Linked DNA regions of Styela clava. The protein of the gene in region 1 interacts with the protein of each later gene in a biochemical or structural test. Links are inferred from orthologs where the notes say so. Each region holds a gene or a part of one and is shown on either strand. Other genes may lie near its edges.

The links. The genes of interacting proteins can lie anywhere in the genome.
Region 2: the proteins of alpha-2-macroglobulin receptor-associated protein-like (region 1) and sortilin-like form a complex in vitro, tested with the Homo sapiens proteins (4 studies listed by BioGRID and IntAct, with this or other methods). The link is inferred for Styela clava from reciprocal best matches to the Homo sapiens genes LRPAP1 and SORT1.

What each region holds. Positions count from the first base shown.
Region 1 is NC_135251.1:11,781,659-11,792,762, forward strand, and holds the start of alpha-2-macroglobulin receptor-associated protein-like, read left to right. Parts: upstream 1-6,721; 5' UTR 6,722-6,830; coding exon 6,831-6,986; intron 6,987-7,437; coding exon 7,438-7,582; intron 7,583-8,124; coding exon 8,125-8,216; intron 8,217-9,285; coding exon 9,286-9,436; intron 9,437-11,104. Other genes in the region: uncharacterized protein LOC120336713, read left to right, coding at 88-250, 938-1,058, 1,463-1,541, 1,769-1,940, 2,315-2,720. UniProt on the Homo sapiens protein: Molecular chaperone for LDL receptor-related proteins that may regulate their ligand binding activity along the secretory pathway.
Region 2 is NC_135257.1:16,369,941-16,380,600, reverse strand, and holds the start of sortilin-like, read left to right. Parts: upstream 1-5,706; 5' UTR 5,707-5,756; coding exon 5,757-5,975; intron 5,976-6,322; coding exon 6,323-6,462; intron 6,463-7,686; coding exon 7,687-7,774; intron 7,775-8,305; coding exon 8,306-8,469; intron 8,470-9,621; coding exon 9,622-9,779; intron 9,780-10,344; coding exon 10,345-10,472; intron 10,473-10,660.

The DNA.
Region 1 (11,104 bases):
CAACAGCCATTAAAAATTGTCAGTCAACGATCAAGGGAGTGCATTCACTTGGAAACGAACTTTATAACAATTTAATTAATATTATAGATATCATCATACATGATGTAAAAAATTGTTCCAATCCGACCGACCATTCGGCCTATATAATTTCCGCCGTGGCATCAATAAGAGGAGTTGATGCAAGAAGACGAGGAGTTCCGTGCGAACCTATTGTGGAACTGGATCACAAAAGCTTTTTGTTTCATTGCAGGTGTGTATTTATGATTGTAAGGTAATTCTTGATCAAATACAACGCCATAATTTAGGCCATAATTTCTTTCCGATTTTCCTCATTTTAGTTCAATTACGATTTCGAGGACCGTCTGTGTTAGACAAGTGAATATACATCTGCCCATAAGCTCCGTCCCTTCACCCTACAACTTGATGTAAAGTAGACGAACAAAATTATTTACCTCCGTATTGGTACACACTTCTGGAGCGCCCAAATTTTAAACTAAATGTAACTGTTATCTGATAACTGTTGACAAATAACTGCGCCATATGACGACGGCGATGGTCATGATACATTTATTTAATCTCCGCTTGTAAAATGTTTTGCCCCTTTCCTATTTTGTTTTGTGTATTCACATCTTTAATTGATTTAAAAGTTATTGCCCGATTTTATGACGTGTTTGTTCATTTTACCGTGAGATTCACTGTTTCGGTGGTGAGCGCGTACTTTTGTACGTTTTTAACCTTTAACCTTTAAGTTATCATCTCCTTCTCGGTCACTCTGTTGCATTGTGTTCGTTACTGTTATGTTGTTTTTAAGTCAGAGCGAAGAGAATAAATTTGATTGATTGATTAAAACGTATCGTTGGCGGTATGTCGAATCATGATATATCATTAGATCAGTCTTAATTTTTAATTAGAACAACTTACCTATTTCTTTTTTTAGAAACTTTATTTTCAACGATGAAGACTTGCATAAACATTTACAGGGAAATCCTCGGAACATCAAACGTCTGTTTAATGTCATCTCTCTCACAGCTAGAATCATGAACTGTTTTCATAAAAAGGTAAGTGACAGCGTTTGAGCAGCATTGGATGATATTATGATTTTTCACGAGGGAATTTTCTGTTTCGCGTTCTTGTCCGTTAGCAGTAAAATGCTACCTCAGATCAAAAAACGGCGTTCCAGAAGTATGTGTACCCATATGGAGGTAATTAATTTGTTTCGCCTACTTTACATCAAATTGTGTAAGGGGACTGAAGCCTATGGGCAGGGGGTATATTCACTTTGTCACACAGACAGTCCCCGAACTCGTAATAAACTAAAATAAGGAAAATCAGAATAAAATTTTGGCCTAACCTTAACCTGGTGCACACACTATGGGAGTATCCGGAAATCTGATAAAATGCCAAATATTTCTGTGCTGGTAATTTTTATTGAATATGTAATTTCTTGTATTTTTTATAACAGGAAAAGCGTACAAGATTTATTCATTCACATATCAACGATAACACTCATAATGGACCTTTTCTTGATGACAACCGACTCGGTAAATCTGAAATTTTATTTGTGATTTAGACTAGACGCAGAAGCTGAAATTCTGAGCAATATTTACTATTGGTGTGGTATAGTCTGTTTTATTGATTGCAGATGGTTTGACGGTTTATTAGTGGATCACCCATGGGAAACGTAATAAAAAAATATCCTACTCGAAGTTATTTTTAAAACTTATTTATTATACTATATATAATTTGAGAGTTTTTTGTTTCAATCTAGTTCGCACTCAACAAGGTGCGGAGGACTTAGTTCGTTGGATTGTACTTGCTGACCAATGGCCGTACAGAACAAGTTATATCTTGCAAGTTATTGAAGATGCAGATCAACGAGGAAGTGCTGGAATTGAGCAAGAAAAGATACCAGATGATTGGACGATTTTTGAGATATTCCAGTAAGATCTTAGTATTTCATCAACAATTATTAATTTTGATACTATTACAAAAACATTTATGAATGGGCATTTCCATTGATATGATAAAACGTAAAGTAGTATTTGTCAGATTTCTATAATGGTTCAGGAGTATTCCAAAATTTGCATTTTTCTTCTGATTCGTTATATACTTTTGAATAAAGCTCATAGTTATTTGATATAACTGAAAAATACTTCGAATAATGGGGTAAGACAAATAATCATGATTTGTTTTTGGCTTCATACTATGGAACGAAATAGAGGAATACAGAATGTCTGTCGCTGCTCAATTTCTTCTATTTGTAAGAATGTTTTGTTTTATATTTGACTCAAATTTATTCCATTTTTTCTATTAGAAACAAAGTGCAAAATGAATACGAAAAAGGTGAATCGTTGTTAAGTCTCGATGGTGACCCGGATATATTCTACAGTTACATTCAATTGCTCGGGGATTGCGGCTTCACAAAATCAAGGATCCAACGTCTTGAAAGATACACTGTCAATTTGGATTATAGCTTACGACATACAATAGCATTCTATCGAGACTTGTCTTGCATGAACCCAAATGAAAGTAAAACGCCTGTTCAACCAGACGATGACAACGAAAAAGAAAATAAAAATGCAGCGACTAAAAATGCAACTAAGGTTGTTGTAGAAGCGAGGCCGGAAGACCCTCAAGTAGCTGAAACGAGTTTTCTGCGACTGGACAAACAAAGCGATGATCGTAGACTTTCCTTGCCTGCAATGTTAGAACATTGCTAAAATAATATTGCATTTATTTTTTACTAATTTTGAATATATTTTTAAGATTTATCTTCCCTATTGCATTTTAGATTGTTAGATTTTAGTTTATTTTTTTCGGTTTTCAAATAACTCCGTCCAATGTTCCAATTCTTCAGTATCAAACAATTTAGCTTTCAAGAATAACGTGCAAATTATCGTGACTCCTGCCGTGACCAAGAGAGACAGGCTGTTCATAGAAAGTTAGTTTTCTGAAAATACAGATTCGTCATGAAAGAAACCGAAATTAAAAAGAATTGACTTTCCGATCGTGTTTTATGATATATACGTGTTTCATGATTTCAAATCTTTGGACCCTGGGTCGCTGATCATCTTCGACTCGACTCCTATCAAGTGTTAGAATGCAAAGACGAGTCAATTCACTGTTATGGCGAGTCGCAAGTCAAGCTTTTTTAAATCACTAGTCACAGTAGATTTCGTGAAAACAGCGAAAGGGATATTCAGTCACATTTACATCAAGAATTGAAAAGTTTCATCTCGTGTTAAACCGAAGATATTTTGAGTATCAAAACAGAAGTTGAATTACCAACCGTGCAACCATTTACCTCAGATAAGCACAGCAACAAACTATTGAAATTTTGATTTTTGTCCACATTAATCGATTTCCTTTTGCTTGTTTCAAAAACTCGCGGAAATATTTAAAAAGAAAGTCTTTCTAGTTGTTAGTGCGAGTCCGAGCTATTTCGTTTAGATCAGAGCCCAGGGGTGTGCAACATTCTCTATCGGTAGGCCGTATAAATTTAGGTTTACCATACGTCCCGCTTTAGGCGGAACAGTCCCGCTTTTTAGCGTCTTGTCCCGCCGTCCCGACAAGTCAGCCAAAAGTCCCGCTTTTGCGTTCAGCCATCCAGCATAATACTCGAACATGTTCTCGTTACTGTTGTTTCTGTGAAGCGCAGCGCTAGCCTACTTACTGAAGGCGATTGCGTTTGTTTCCTGCTGATTCCCATTGATAGCAGACGTATCGCATGTAAAACCATTACTAATTAGTCTAAATTCGAATTATTTGTACCGATATCGTTAACGTCAATTTCTTTATATTTTTCGAACTGAATCCGATATTCGTACAGAGAATATGCGCATGAAAGTTCGGTAACAATATGGTCAATAAAGACAGCCGGGACAGCTCTAAATGTAGGCGGTGGTGGGATTCAGCCGGTTCGCACCGGTTCTATAGAACCGTCTCACGGAATTTAATGAGATCAGCGGACCGGTTAGCATTGCTAAAAAACATGAAACAGAGCCGGCCGAAAAATATGAATTTTGTGATGGAACCAGCTGACAAAAAATTTGAATCCTACCACTGAATGTAGGCCTATGTAGTAAAATCGGAAAATGTGAAGTTACAAAATCTTAGCTAAGGGGTCGTTGTCTTTTGAGGCGTCCCGCTTTGAAGTCACAAAAATATGGTAACCCTACGTATAATCAACTTCAGCCAACTAGCTGGGCCATACAAAAAATAGTATTTCAATGTACATTGGCAACATACAGAGCGCCGCGGGAAAGGCAAGAAAAGAGAATGCGGCCATCGCTTAGTCATAATAAATGCACCGGGCAAAACAACGAAATATTTAACGTAGCGACTAGAGCAAAAAATCTTCAAGTATTTTTATCCATGCAAGCGGCTTTTCTTAGACATAAACTGTCGGAATAGAATTTTATGCTTAGATTGGGGGTTGTTGACAAGGGCCACACCACATGGCTTTGCGGGCCGGGTTGTTGACCACGGGCCGCCTATTGCACACCCTGGTTTGGATGAACGGAGTCTTTGTGAAAAGGTTACCACAACACTGGTTTGGCATGTACAAAGAAAACCTCCGCATATATATGTAATAAATAAATCTTTTATCGCAAAATTAAATTTCGAAAAATTTATGACGCTTCTCACCAACAGTGGCGTAAATAGGGTGTGGCAGCCACGGCTCGTGCCATGGGCGCCGTTTAAACAGGGGCGCGAAACGGCGGAAAATATCAATAATAAAACGTTTCAATGAATAATTTCAAATTGGGAACAACTGAATCTTGTATTTTTTCCTCAAATAATAACGTAGAAGTTTCCTAGTTCATTAACAATCAATATAAATTATCAAACAACTATCAAGGGAGCGCATTCTTAGACTTTGCCATCGGCGCTATTTTAAGTAGATACGCCACTGCTCACCAACATAAAAAAGCCCAGCAAGAACGTGGATTTAAATTAGTTGGAAGAATACTAGCTGTTGTAAATCCCACCGATCGGAGAAGGTAAAATATTTAGAAATTTTAGAACAGTAAACAGCCCTAATGAATTTATCTAGTTTTGAATAACTCAAAACAAAAATGTGATGTGAACGACTCAATTAGGTATTTCCGCAGAAATGTGCACATGGGTCGATTTGTTATTAATATGTTGTTTTTCTTTTCCTTGTTTGTATTTTTCTTCGTGATGTTTTGAACAAAGTTTCATTCCGGTTGGTTTAGGTAGGAACTCCACCACGTTCCGATCGTTGTTCCGTTATGGCTTTCGTGTCCATATATTTGGGCATCAATCTCTTGCTTCACAACAAATTTTTGTGTGGCTTAATTTATGCAGTTGTGGTGTCTTCTTCGCTAGCCTCTTGCACAACCAGCGAAATCCTGCTGCCCGAATAAAACATGGCATTAAAAGTGAACTACAATGAAACGCAGCACTTCGAGAGAATCACGACAAAAACATGATATCTATATACGTAAATAACAATTAAGTTTCTGAATATAAAAAATAAAACTTCGGCACAAAATTCAAACATGGTCGGCCTTGATGGTTAAAAAATTAGCATGCATGAATAGTCCAATATTCTATGCAATCGAACAAGTAAATGATGCAAAAAATTCATGAGTGTACAGTGTACTAACGAAATGCTTTTATTGTTATTAATCCGGCAATTTTGCGTCACGATTCCGATACCCATAGCGGTTACTAATATGTTAGTTGCAAGACTTGTAGGTTTAAGGATAGATCGGAGGGGTCGCGTCCAGCATAGTGCATAGATAAAGAGATGTTACATAACATAGATCTGCAGATGTTAGTGTACCGGTACGGTACCGGTACATTACTGCATTAGATGTTACCGATACATGCATTGTCTGTGCGTCCAGGGTACCGGTACCGTAATTACGATTTTCCGCTACAACAACTCGCGTCTGACAGTTCAGTGGAAGCGAAAATAGATTGAAAAAATATAGTCGATACCGGTACTCTGGTACTGGTAAAGTTAGTCCAGTGTAGTCTGGACTGTGAAGGTACCGTACCGGTACGGTGCTGTAAAGGGATTTGGATACGGTGAACCGTTTACTCATAAAAGTGTAAAACAACAGGGCAACTCGTTTACATCGCAAATAATGGGGTCTCCCTAAAACCAGGCACTTGCGATTTCAGGTACTTTGATATTTTTTTTATTTCTACCGTATGTCAGTAGGTATGTTATTGGGGTTTCCAATTTATTTGACCTAATAATTAGACTCTAAATAAATTTTTGCATCCTTATACAGTATCGAAGCAAGCTTGGAAAAGTCTTTTCATGTTTCATATTAATGTATTATTGATAATAGAACGCTGAATTTCTGGCATTACTGCCTTACAGCAATAAATGCTCAGAAATCTGAGAAATGTCTCATTTTCAAGCTCTCTGTATATCAAGCTCTTTAGTTTGAATATTTTTTATTGTACCAATCAGCCAATACTCGTAGGCTATTATTGTTTATTAGTTGACAAAACAATAAATCGCTACCAGATGAGCAGACTTTGCTTAACAGCATACGGATGAATAACAGAATAACACTACCATACTGCACTAGGGCTTATTTTTCAGAAATATGAAAACCGATATCCATTTACTTATAAATAACACACTTTTCTGTTTTTATTCAAAATACTGAAATAACTGCTGAGAACATGGATTATCAATCATTTAAAATGCGTAGGAGATTTGTTAAGTTCATATTTTTTCTTGTTATCTCAGTAATAAAATATAGTCTACATTCCTTTTATTACGGTATTATCTTGCAAAATAAAAAACGATTTGATTGATTGATTGAACTTGGAACTTAAAAATGCATAGAAGTATATGCATCATCTTTTGCGCACAATTTATCCTGTCAATTGCAGCTGGTGGAAGTAGAGATGGCAATGAAATACCAAATTCTGATGATAATATTCGAAAGTTTCGAAGTGGAAGAGTTAATCAAGTCTGGGAAAAAGCAGAAAAGGTTGGTTTGATTGTTTCTTACAGTTCTGCACCATCAAATTCAACTTCATTATGATTCTATCTCAGTCTCTGCAGTACGGCACACTTTACAGATCGAGCGACATTGTCTTGTTTCAGAGAATCCCATTTTCCCAATCCTTTCAGGACATCTGGACATTGTTGTCCCTCAATAACAGTGAAAATACAGTAACATGAAGTTAAACAATGGACTAAAAAGAAGCGCAATCTAAAAACGTCATCATTGAATTCCTCAGGAAAAAATAATGTGTTTGTTTTATTGAACCAAATGACAGGACATTCTTGAAATTGGAAACTGTGCCCAACTGCCCCATGGTAGTAATCATTGAAGCTTCACTGATCAGAATAATTCAATTTTAACATAAAAGTGTAAATGCTGCAATATCTCACTAATAGTTTGTGTTTTGTGATACTGATTTATTTTTTATCAATAGATGAAGCTTCCAGCACTGAAGATGACAGATTTGTACGCTGATTTGAAACACCATGATCGACTATTGATGGAACACAAACGAAATAAAGTTAATCAAGGTGAAGATGACGGTCTCAAAGAAGCAGAGCTCACTGATGCCCTCCATGGTGGGTTACATCTAACTAACTGTAAAGAGCTAATTTATCAAGGATTTTATATCACTTATTCAGTCATGCTTTGTATCATCTTGGAACATGGAATTATATTTTTGTTATGGTTTTGTATTTATATTTCACCAATGTTACAAACTTAAACTGAGATTATTTTGCATGAATGGCAAAATCAAATTATGGTGCGTGCTATTTAAAATATGTTCAAAATTACTGCCTGTTTTGACTATGAAATATAAATATACTACGGTATTTATTATGTCATGGTCATACAAATTCACTAAGATTAATAATCTTTGCAGTGCAAAACAATGCGATAAACTTTTTTTATTATTGTTGACCTTTACCAGAAGTTGAATACTTGAAAACCAAATGTGCCACATGATAATTGAACTAGGTAAATCATGTTTTTGACACAAAACATAGTTTGAATTGTTCTTCAAAACAGCAATTACGACTGTATCTAGTTATAAATTTTGCTTTCGGTGTGTGTCCTTGTCCCCGACTTGCATTTCATTCCTATCTATGTTAATTTTTAGAGATCATGCTGAAATATGGTCTGGCTGGAAAAAAGAGAATAAAACCACAACAGAAGCGGGAAAAAAAGTCTACAGATACCAGGTTTCTAGAGGTAATTGAAATAATTTTTGACTGGTCTTCCTAGTAAGAGCAATACTCCAATATGAGGCCATGAATCTCAGCTGTTTGAGTACTTTCTTTGAAGATCAGTGGGTAAGCATGATTGAATAAAGTGATTCGATAATACATAACAAAGTCTGTACTCCCGAAGTATGTGAACCAAGATGGCGGACACTGGAACGTAGTATGTGTACCAGGTTAGGGTTAGGCCATAATTTTATTCCAATTTTCCTTATTTTAGTTCTATTACGAGTTCGGGGACTAGCCAAATGACTCCCGTAGTATTGGTACCTGAAGTTAGAGCCTAACTCTGACCTGGTACATATACTACGTTGCGGTTTTCGCCATCTTGATTCACATACTTCGGGAGCACCAAAAAGTCTTTTGAGGAATTCAAATGAAACTCGAAATTTTGGATGAAATATCCGGTCATACAGGATGCAGAGAAAGTTTGAAAAAAACATAAGAGTAACAGCTTATTAGTGGCTCAAAGCATTTAAAACTGAATGGTCCATTGCATGCGGAGAAAAGCCATATTTACCCAACAAGAACAATAACCCCAGCAGCAAAAACAATTTTACAAAACATTACATAAGTCAACATTGTCTTGAACAAGAAAACAAAATAGCAGTAAAGCTATTCCAGTCAGTATGTTTCAATAATTTATTCTGGTAGTGGCACACTCAGGATGACACTAGTTCTGAAGACATGGGAAAAATACGCCCCGTGTGCCAAATCCGGCCCGCCTGATGCTGTCGAAAATTTCTTCTTTAAACTAATTCTACATGCACTACATTGTAAATCTGGTTTGCCAATCGCCACAACCAAATGAGAACCAAATTTTGATGTTTTAGCTAGAAAATAGCTCAAGGAATTTGTTGATTAGCGATTAATTTCAGTTTTGGCACGAGGCTTATTGTTGCCACTTTCACTTTTGAAACACTGTTCATAAACGGAACTTTTTATGTCACGCCAGTTTGGATGGGCAAAATTTTTGACCAAAACCTTGTTGGTCCAAAAACCTTGTCTTCACTAGTTCCTAAAATCTTTATATTCGTCAGGATCCCAAGTTGGATAAACTGTGGCAAACAGCAAACAAACATGGGAAGTTTACAGATGATGAACTAAAAAGTCTTCACATGGAGTTCATTCACCACAGAAAGAAAGTAGAAGAATACGAATTGTTAAAATCAGAAACTTCACAAACTGATGGTAAGCACGATTGACATCGAAGGAAATAAACCAGATATGAGGCCAGTGGCGCAACCAGCGGGGGGGTTACGGGGGTCGTGTCCCCCCCGTTTGAATTTCGTTTTTTTTTTATTATTGTTCTACGTTAAAACAACGTCGTTCCACAGTCATAACAATCCGGTGAAAACTTTTTTCCAGTGCTTTATCACCTCGACGTAATTTAACACCGCCCGACTTCAATCATACCTTTTTGCTGATAGTTACGTAATAATCGCTAACCCCGCGTATATGTTTGTATTCGAAAATGAGATATGTTATCTCAAAAAAGTAGAAATCGCGCGCTTTCGATGCGAATTGAAAGCGACAATAGCATAATGCTATCTCTCTCTCTCTTGTGACGAATACTCTCGTGCTTCATCATCTTGACGCAATGTAACGCCGCCCGTCTTCATGTTATAATAATGCAGTAGAAACTCTGAAAATCTGGATACGAAAATTATTTTCGGAAAAATATTGCTTCGAATAACCTAAGATTTTCTACATATGAAAGGCCGAAAACGCCGTAAACATCCTACCGCCCCCGTCCACGTTCTGATTTAAAAACATTCCACAATTATTTCATTTTTTATCGCAATCGAAAGCAGCCATGTGTGGCACGGCAATAACTAACAGTCGTCGTGAAAGGTTTTCAATAAACTCTGACTTGAAGTGCTTATAAGACGTCGAGGACGTTTTTGGTTGAAAATTTTTTACATTTGTTATCGTATATTTCAATTTAGTCAAGATATGTTGTGCGTCTCGGCAATAAACTTTAAAGCAAATCCTGTCCTAATTAATTGTTTTCATCCTCAGTTTCGATAGTTATCGAACTTAACGGGAAATTTTTTAATTTCTTGCAATCTATAAAATAGCTTCTAAATATTATTTGGTTTCTATCGGAGATTTTATCGTTATCCCGAGTCCTGACGTCGTTGATAACAATATCGTTCATTTTAAGTTGGAGGTATTGGTTTATAATCAAAAAATTATAACACATAACATGAAAAATGTAAATCAACGCCGACTCAAAAAGTAAAACACGTTTTTCCATCTTCATTCTCCATTATTGGCGGACGGAAATTTGGGAATCGGGTTTAACTAATTTGATTATGATGACGATGGTAAACAAAAGTACACAAACATACCATACCGTTCTTAGTTTTTAGTCGTTATTTCTCTGTCCTTTCTTCTTTCTATGTGCATATTAAGACCATAAAACGTGTTTTATTATTGAATTCTGCGCTGATTTGAATATTTCATGTCGGCTGTTATGTATTTTTGTTTGTAAATGAACACCGCTAACTTTAACTGAACTGATGTTGTTATCAATGCCGGATGCCGACGAAATCCGCGATAGATATTAAATACTATTTAAGAGCTATTTTATACGCGCTAAATTGGAAGAAATGAAAAAATTTCCTGTTATGTTCGGTCACTATCGAAACTGAGGATGAAAACAACTAATTAAGACACAATTTGCCGAGGTCGCCTAAACTAAGTTAAAATACCCGATAAGAAAATATTTTCAATCAAAAACAACCTCGAAGTCTTATAAGTTCTTCAAGTCGGCGTTTATCGAAATTCTTTCATGTCAGCTGTAATATATTGCCGAACCACACATGGACGACGACGCCTAGGATATGTGCGCCA
Region 2 (10,660 bases), on another chromosome or scaffold:
TCTCTGTCGAGTCGTATGAAAGTCGGTAATTATCACGCCTCGGTAACGGTATGACAAGTTTTAGTTTTCTAGCTCATTGAATTTCAACCGGCGCTCCGCGGAACAAAGGTGTTCCATGGGACATCCTTCAGCTGTTGCACTTCAAATTGTTGTCCCCTGTTTTATATTTTGGCATATTTTATCATAAAAAAAATCCATATTACCATTATTGCCTAAATATCCACCAAACACGTAGGCTATTTAGTTTTTAGGAAGATTCTGTTGCGTGTAATTAACCGAAACAATAGCTAAACAACATTTTTAACGGGAACGTAACAATTGAAATGCCGCTCGGAGGCTATTTCAAGCATGGTCGTGAACATTGTCCCGTTTTCGTAATGTCGGGCGTCATGGATCAAATTCTCATATGTTTTCAGAATTTAGATTTGAATGAAGCTGTCATTTTGTCTAATCACAGAAAGTGTGTCCGAGTGGTCGCTAAGCTTCAGTTTGCATCTTGCTGAAATGATAGGGAAGTAAACAAGTAAGTCGACACTCGGAAAGACATATGTTCATATTGCTATGGATCTTTACCCGACCTTTGACCCCATAAAATTCTTCTTATACTTTATCATTGCGAAATTTTCAGAGCTTATTTTAAGAGCGGTTTCGCGAGTTGGCGCCTGTAAAATAGGGTATCAAACCAAAAATAGGTGTTTTAAACCATCATTATGATTCATCGCATACAACAATTAAAAAAAAATATACCGGTAAAGAATTTTAGCCCAGTCTATCACAGCTATTTGTATGTATGTTTAGTCTATTTGCCTCAAAAATGTAACAGTATCTGCATAATAGTTTAACGGTATAAAAGAGACGGGATACCGGTACATGTTCAAGACCTTACTGGACTAAGACAAAGTTATACGAATGATGCCCTGGAATTGTATTTGTGCTCTCACGCATATCTTTAACTGCTCCTTACAATCTGGTAAATACATAGACCAGTTCAAATTATCCAAAGTTATTCCATTGTTCAAAAAAGGAAATGCAAAGGATGTAAAAAACTACCGACCGATCAGCTTACTTCCTGCATTTTTCAAAATTCTAGAAAAAATTATGTACAAGAGACTCAACCATTTCCTGGACCAAAAAAATTTCTTTTATTCCCAGCAATTTGGCTTTCGCCAAAATCACTCAACATCTCTACTTGTCAGTAAAATTTTAGGATTTGAAAAGAATGAGTATACTCTTAGCATGTTCTTGGACCTTTCAAAGGCATTTGATAGTATTGACCATGACATATTACTAGCCAAATTGTATCATATTGGTGTTAGAGATCAGAGTTATAATTGGTTCAAGGCTACTTATCAGGAAGGAAACAAGTAGTAATATGCAATGACTTAGCATCTAGCACATACTGTAATTTGACTGTAGGCACTTTACAAGGTTCTATTTTGGCTCCATTATGTTTTTCAATCATTATTAACGACTTTCCAAATTCTCTTCATCACTCTGATATCATACTTTTTGCTGATGACTCAACGCCATATCTTCGAGGCAAAGACTTGCCTGAACTTTTGATCAAAGCAAATACTGACTTGGAAAATATTCAAGCTTGGTTGTCTGCGAACAAACTCTAATTATCTCTCTAGCTATTAATTTGGAAAAAACTAAATATATGGTATTTAGCGCACCAAAGCAAAAGTGTCCAACACCGCAACAAAATCTGGAATTGAATGGAATAACGAGCTATTTGGGTGTAATAATTGATGATAAATTGTGTTGGGAACAGCACACAAACTTGAATCTATCTAAAACAAGGTCATCTCTAGGTGCTATTACGAAAATAGCCAACAATTTAAATACATCCTGTTTGATATCCCTATACCACTCTTTAATAGAAAGCCATATTCGATATTGCACTTCGACTTATGTTCATCGCCAAACGTTCATTATCAGAAAAATTCAAATTTTAAGTTTTTCATAGAGGAAATCGAGAAAAAGTTGATGACTTATTTAAAGAGTATGGGCTGCTACGTGTTGAGGATTCAGCTAAATTTGAACTATGCAGCATGATGTTCTCTAGCTACAACGGGCGACTTCCATCCAGTCTGAACAGATTGTTCCGAACAAACCCAAATTCAAATGGCAGAAATAAAAAAAAAATTTTCATTCCATTTGTTGCTAAAAGTATCTCACAAGAATCTATTGCAGTATGTGGACCAAAAGCTTGGAATTCCCTACCTAATGGCTTAAAAAAATCAAAATCAAACTCAGAATTTCGTTCCAAACTTATGCAACATTTGTTATCATCATATTAACCAAAATCTTTGTTTTGAACATATTACTGTTTCGGAGTTTATTTTTTTTAGGGAATTCGGTTACTAAGATGGGCTACTAGAGACTATTTGGATTGAAAGCACCAACAGGAAACTCCGAAGGATATCAAATCACCACTCAGTAGATGGCGACTTCAAACACCGCATGCTACCTCAGCAGGGTGCAATATGAAACAACGGACTGAATTAATATTTTAACTCACCCTTCTAATCTTATTATCATGCTTAATTAGACAAAGACAATAAAAACAGCAAATTAGGTTACAGATAGTAAATTACAATTACATCGTTTGCTAACACCGGTTGTGCTTCATTTACTATCAACATGAGTTTACCTGGTGGCAATCATGCACTAGTAAATTACAATTACATCAAATTTGAATTCAGCCATCAATAGAAACAGTTCTCTTTGTCAAAGTAGCACGCTGGGTCCTTTCTTTTTCATACAGGTCATTGCACAAAATCAAATATATATTCCTCCCTTCCCTCACCCCATGAAACTATATTAGGTACTCTATTGTGATCCTAATATAATTAGGGCAATCCATGACATGGAAACAATGCTTCTCTTTATAAAATATTAGCCTTAATTAAATAGTACTTTTATACATTTATTTTCTTCTGGAAAAAATACAATCATGACAGGTTTTGTGCAAATGCATTTCATTAAGTTTAATTTTCCTTTAATTCTTACCACATTCAGCTTGAATTTTATAAATAAAACAGGAATTTGACACACGAACTGAAGTATTTCACCAAAATCTGTATGGTTCACATTTTTGCTGAAACAGATATATTCCATCAAAGACTCTACTAGTACCCTTGAGTGACGCATATCATATAGGCACAAGAACCGCAAATTTATTTCTTATACTTCGCCCATTCATACTATATGGTCTCACCACTCAAAGGCGCTGTATTTGCGCCTAATTTTGATTTCATTGTTATGTATATGTTTATTTGGTGTTGTGTTGTCTCTATTTTTATATATTGTCTTGTCTTATAAACTCCCCTGTATAAACAGTTTTGTATACTCCACCCTTACCACTTTCACCACACCAAACGACCCATTGCCCCACCTTGCACAACTGTCTATATAAGGGACCATATTATACATATTTAATCTAATGTTTTTTGTTTTATATTTGTCAGAAAGGGTGCATGCCGCACATTTGTGTTTTAGGCCAGTACGGTCTTGTGCATGCATCCCGTCTTAAATATTAATAATTGTTCATTTATTTATTTATCACTATTACGAGACGAATAAACATACATACACACATACAAGACACAGATGTGCGATATGCACCTCAACAAGTATAACTGCAGTTTAGGACTGCTGCGTTATAGTAGGACAACAGACATGCAATATACAAATAAAACTCTTGTACAATAACAATACACAGTACAAAGAGGTGCCCAATGTTTGTCACCATAAGGGACAGTTCTGTCTTTACGGCCCACCTGGCGTGGTTACGGCAGCAAAATTTTACCTGCCATAGGTTTTCAATTTGCTGCCGCTGTAACGGCAGCTCGTCATTGGTTTGTGGCAGCTAAAAAGTCAGTCGCCATAGGTTTGCACGTAGCGGCCATGGTATGGAAATACCGCCATGGTTTTGCGGCAGCTGCGGACGCCACAGAATACTTGAAACTGCACTTGGAGGTTTGGGTTGCCTTAACTTACATACAGACAGATACCGGTACCGGTATAGCAAGAGCTGATATGATAGCCTACATGTCTGGGGTCTAGTATAGTTTAGTACCCCAAGTAGGTACCGTACTTCCTGTGGATGTGGCATAACAAATTTTGGATCTCCTGAAGTACACGCCGCACGTACTTCTAGTTGGCCTGGCTCAACAATATTTGCATATGTCATTCCTAACCCCCACCTGACTACGGTACGTCATGCGAAAACTACCGGTACATCACTGCAAATTCGCAGAGACGTAATACAGCCCTCCAAAGTTACGGATGGTCGCGCAGACAATCATCCGGAATCGAGCAAGCCACGGTATTTCTCTCGTTTTCTCCTCAATGCGATACCGATACTGCGATATGAGTCTAAGAGAGAGATCGCTGGGTCTAGTATAGTTTAGCAGTCTCGTGTAGTTTCGTACGGTACGGTACCTAACGTACGGTACTTCTAGTGGGCGTAGCATACCGTAACAATTTTCTGACATGTCAATCCTAACCCCCACCTGACTACGCCATCAAAAAATTACGTCACTGCGATGTCACAATCGCGTTATAGAGCTTGCTAAAGTATAGGGACTTCTCATGTTTTAAACTTGTTTATAGGTTTTGCGGGTCTCGTGTAGTTTCGTACCTAACATAGGATAGGTACTTCTAGTGAGTGTATCGCAATAATTTTTTGACATATCAATTCTAACCCCCACTTGACTATGCCATCCAAAAATTACGTCACAATCATGTCATAGAGCTCGTCAAATATACATACGATCGCCCGAAATGGCATCGGCGCCGACGATAAAGAACTGACTAATGTCAGCGATCTCTCTCATATTGGGATCGTTGCGACGAGAAAACGAGAGAAATAGTTATTCGATTTCGGATGCTCGTCTTGGACAACCGTTCGTATAGTTTGGAGGGCTCTATTACCGTACGTCACTGTGACGTTGTAGTGACGTAATTTTTGGATGGCGTAGTCAGGTGAGGGTTAGGATTGATATTTCAAAAAATTGTTATGCTACGCCCACTAGAAGTGGATTAGGTACGAAACTACATGAGACCCGGTTTTGCTTGCCCTCCAGAATTCTCCATTTTTAATTTATGTTTGTTATGGAGTTTTCGAAATAAACTATCTATCTATCTAGCTACAATAGTCCGAAATGGCATCTGTGCCGACTATACTGAACTCACTAACGTCAGCGATCTGGGTCTGGTATAGTTTAGTACCACATGCACTTCTAGTTGGCCTGGCTCAACAATTTTTGCATATGTCAATCCTAACCCCCACCTGACTACGTCACCGAAAAATTACAACATTTCGTCGTCACAGTGGCGTAATGAGGCCAAAACGTGCAGACGGTCACCCGAAATCGAGCAAGCTATTTCTCTCGTTTTCTCGTCACAACGATCACGATCAGAGAGAGATCGTCGGCGTTAGCGACTCGTTATCGGCGGCGCAGATGCCATTTCGGGCGATCGTAATTATACTTTTGCAATCCTATGACGTGATGGTGACGTCGTAGTGACATCATTTTTGGATGGCATAGTCAGGTTGGGGTTAGGAATGACATATGCAAAATTCGTTATGCTACGCCCACTGGAAGTACTACTTGTGGTACTAAACCTTACTAGACCCCATTTTTTGTTATCTAGCTAGCCGATCTGCCAATGCCATCAGCTGTCCATTTCTCTCAATTTTGTATTTTTGTTTCATACCCCAGTCAGAAATTTGGAAAATACTACCAATGGCGTTCATAAAATTTATATGCATATTAATCATCACTGTTTCGCTGATAATAACTGGTAAAGGTGAGGACACTGAAAGTGTTTTATCTATGCAAAAGCATATTGGTGGTGCAGAAAAACTTGTTACTTTGAAAAGGATTATTCGTGATGTTGAGACTGGGTCTGGTGAAACTGCGACCGACGAAGAACAAAATATATTGAGGAAACACACTGATGTGGTATGATAAAATTTTTTTGAAAAATCACTATTCTCTGAATTCAATCTGTTCAAAATATTCATCTAAAAAATTAGTTGTGTTAGACCAAAACAGCCCAGTTACGCACCCATACCCAGACGAGGAAGCAACCCATTAATTCCCTCTTCTTTCCAAGATAAACCTTACTTTGTTGTAATTACCAATTACCTACAGTAGTCATCTCTTAATTAACTAGAAAATTTAGTATGCAGCTACATTAGTACATGGAAATAATTTTTCCTAAATATTGAAAGAGTTTAATATAAAGTAATGTCTAGGCGTCCAACCTTTGCAATTCAATATCTATTATCGATATGTTATCATTTCAGCATGTGTTCAGCAATGACAGCAACCCATCAATATCTCTAATATGGACTGGTACAGAAGGTGCCTTAATTGCTTTAACAACAATGGGAAATGGGATAACCTTAATTCCATCAAGGCTTTACAGAAGTTCTAACTTTGGAAGGTAGATATGATTTTTTGCAAGAAGTGTTGTGTTCATTCAATGCACTAATAGCGGTCAAATACAAAATATGCTGGCACTAATGACTTAGAGCAGTGGTTGCATTCCCCAGACGTCAAACTAATTTTTGTGAACTCTCTTACTTTTAATGCATAAAGCAGGAATTGCTCAAATTTATTATTATGAACATAAGAATGTATGTCATGACAATGGCTATTGTACGCTGTTTGTTTTGTAGTAATTAGAACAAGCGAAAACACATGTCAGTTGTATCAACGTTTATCTTGTTGGTTTACTTGCTGAATGTGCCTATCGTTAATTGTCAGTTTAGTTTATTCTAATTATTAAAATTTGGCATTAAATATAAATGTCGGAAAGTTGGCGACGGGGGTCGAACATTTTAAAGTGGTCGGTCGGAAGATATTTATTCGTTGAGCGTTCGTTATATGTGATTTTAAAAACCTATTGCGAATATTTCAGTTATACTTTAATAATGACATGTAAATATTTGTATATAATATTATGTATTATGAATGCTATACACTCATTTCCTGTAATATTTTGTCTGATACACTGTTGAAGGGATTACCATTTTAGACAGGAAGCTTGACAACATATTGCTCGTAGATTGCACTCATGTGTCTTCATTTGATAATTCATAAGACACCCACACCTCTATAATACCTATGATACCATACATACAATATTCAAATATGAATATTTTCTTTGAGCAAGCTTAATTTCAACAAATATGAAGATGTAGTAAAGCAGTAAACTGTATTTCATTTTTAAGTTCGATGAAATTTTTTTTTATTGCAAATCTATACAAGAATGCATTCAATTTCAGGAAAAATCCATCTAATCTGGGGCTTATCACTGCTGTACTTTCTTATGGTATTATTGTAGAATATAATTCATAGTTTTTTACCTGGACTTCTTGTCTTTGTAGATGTATGTCAGTATGAAATAAAAAGTGTATGCCAGATATTTCATACTGGTTTACAATGTAAAATGAGTATTAACTTTGTTTAGTTCCAACTTTTGATCACCCTTGAGCCCTGGCATTTAATTTGGGGAGTTTGATTTTCTTTAATTCTAATTTATTTTTGTTCAGTTCAATTATTCGCACAAACAAAAATCATAATTTCGCATTATATGGAAGCCAATTTTCTCACTAGAATGTCGAAAGTCAAGACTGAGTGACAATCAATACTATTTGTTTTCTAGATCTTTTGTGGACATATCAGACAAGATCGAGCATGATAGAATTCTGAACAATCATGGAATGCTTGTCAGTCCAGTTGATTCCAACAATGTGAGTGTGTATTTTGTTTTTGAATTGCAGACATATATATGTATGGAATCTTGCTTACAATTTTAAAACCTAATGGATAAATGCTGGTATACAATTATTAGAAATGATATTATCTCAATTACGATCTACTAGTTTTTAATTTTTCTGGAACTAAATTGCTTCCAAATAGTAAATTGTTACGTACGTTATCATCATTAACTTATTTTGAGAATGGAAGATTTTGTTATGATTGATGAGCCTTTCTGTGTGGATAACATTTTGGTTAACATCCTGATGTCACATGTTAGTGGTCTCGGTTTTTCTTGGGAGCGAATCCAGCCCCATTGGCTTCTTTTAATCTTTCATATTGATGACTACATGGACAAAGCATTATTTGTAGTAAATTTGTCAAGTGCTACATAAAATAATAAATAACTCCCGTAGTATGTGTACCAGGTTAGAGTTAGGGCATAATTTTATTCAGATTTTCCTTATTTTAGTTTTATTACGAATTCGGGGACTTTCAATAGCAAGAAAAATTGTTTTTTCCAGGTGATGTTGGTCACTGATCAGAGTTTTTCCTTATTTGCTCGTGGGATGGATTACAGGAGCGTTGTGTATATTACTACAGATAATGGTCAAAGTTTTTCGAAGAGTAAACTCAAGTTTATAATTGATCCTAGTTCTGTCTATTTCAACAAATATGATACTTTGAAGTAAGTAAGACTGAAACTTGTTAGGTTGTTTCACTTGTTTTTTGATAAATTTTAATATTATCCCAGGAGAGTGGAAAGATAATATGGCTGAAGTGTGAAATTTCGCCTATCAAAATTCGGAATATTTAGAAATAAACCCATAAGAAAAAAAATTATAGTGGGATAAAAATGTCGTTTAGAGCTGAATATCGAGCGAGTTTTCAATCTTTATAATACTTTGTATAGTTCTAAAAAATTTTTTTTTAAACAGAATAAATTTTGCAAATGCTACCAAATATATTCAAATACCAAAATTACGGCTTCGTATAAGGTATAAGTATATATTGCAGATAGGTTTTGGTTTTTATTGAATTCTAAAAACTTTCACTGACTAAAAGCATTTTTTTATATAATAAAAAATTTATTGCACGAAATTCCATTGTTGAATGGTTTGATCGTATATGTTGTAAAGGTAAAAACATTTGTTAGCTGCTACATCATGTGACCATTACTATGCACAATTATTCCAGTCATATTTACATGAATGTGAAATGAATCATGTGATATTTATGAACTGCTACTCAAGATTGTAAAAATTGACATTCCTTTCATACATGGTTTGTCTGGTATTATACCAGATTCATTATATGAGCTGGTTAAATTTTAATAATTTGCCACCTTTAATACAATAAGGATTCGGGAATACAAATTCTTTCATATTCAATACCAAAACTGGTAATCTAATTCCGGGGTCATTTTAGAGGTGACATAATGTCAGAAGACATATTTCTGACTCATTGTTCCACTTTGTCAGCTGCTTTGTGGAATGTACTGATACAACATGATTTGCATGTTAGATGGCTGTTTTGCTATCTAAAATAACATATTCAATGAGATAAATCCGAAATATTTGAAAATCTATGTTATTGTATGATACAATTATCATTAAATTGCATTTGGACTTTATTCTGTTAATAAAATGTATGATATTGGAAATTTAAAGATCTTGAATTCAATGTTTTGTGGTTCTCTTTATGTAGCAAAATTTTTAATTTCAAGTTGAAAAAATATTAGGGGGGAATTTTTAACGTTGAAATTTTCAGTAATTATTTGAATTTGTTTGTTCTGATACCTGTTTATTATTATTAAAGCTTATCGTGATCATTTTTTTAGAATCTTGGCAATTTCATCTGACAACCATGGCTTGTGGATTTCTTATGATTTTGGTTTGGTATGGCGACATATATCTGATCATGTGATTCAAGTAAGATGGGATCCTACAGATAAAGACACATTTTATTATGCAAAAGATCCAACTGGGAGCATGATTTGTAAGTTATAATTTTATATCATACAACTTCACTTTCCAATGGTAATCTTCCTAATGCGTAGGCTTTCATGATGTATATTTAAGTAAAAATCTTTTTGGAAATAGGTGTTATTGACATTTATCGATCATTTACGATCTAGTTCATTCCTCCTTATCTTAAGTTTTTTTAGTCCAGGCTATTTCATGTACATTTTTAGCATTATGTAAAGGATATGATTTCCATATTCACTCCGGGGGAGAGGGAAAATTCTAAGCGACTTAATAATCATAACTGCAGCCAGTTGTCTGTTTACCGGTCCTTATTGGGCATGGGGTTAGTTGACCAGTTATTCTGTTCTGATAGATAGGCACGGTGGTGGAGAAAGCCATAACCACCAGTTATCACGTGAACCCTCTGATGGCTTGGAGTCCAGCAATCCTCTCACACATGAGCTATTTATTTTCCACATGATTCAACCCTACCCGCGTAAGGTGGCAAGTATATTCTTTACTTTAGCATGAGAATCTAAGTTCTTTTTCATTTATATATTGTCACTTTAAAACTACTATTTTCATTTTATCATCAGCTGGTGCCTTCAATAATGAATTGTATCGCGGTAAAGCATCGTATATAGAATCAACAAAAATTGCGGAACATATTTATAGCTTTGGTGTTCAAGGTGGATTCATCTTTATATCAGTGGAATTTCTTTCTGTGAGTGTGCATGTTAATAATGTTGGATTAAAATTAATATTTTTGGAATCTAAGTAGTTTATAGAATGTTTGGTACTCCCATAGTATATGTACCAGGTTAGGGTTAGGCCATAATTTTATTCCAAATTTCCTTATTTTAGTTCTATTATGGTTATAACAGACCCGCGGGGGTTCTCGAACCCCAGTTT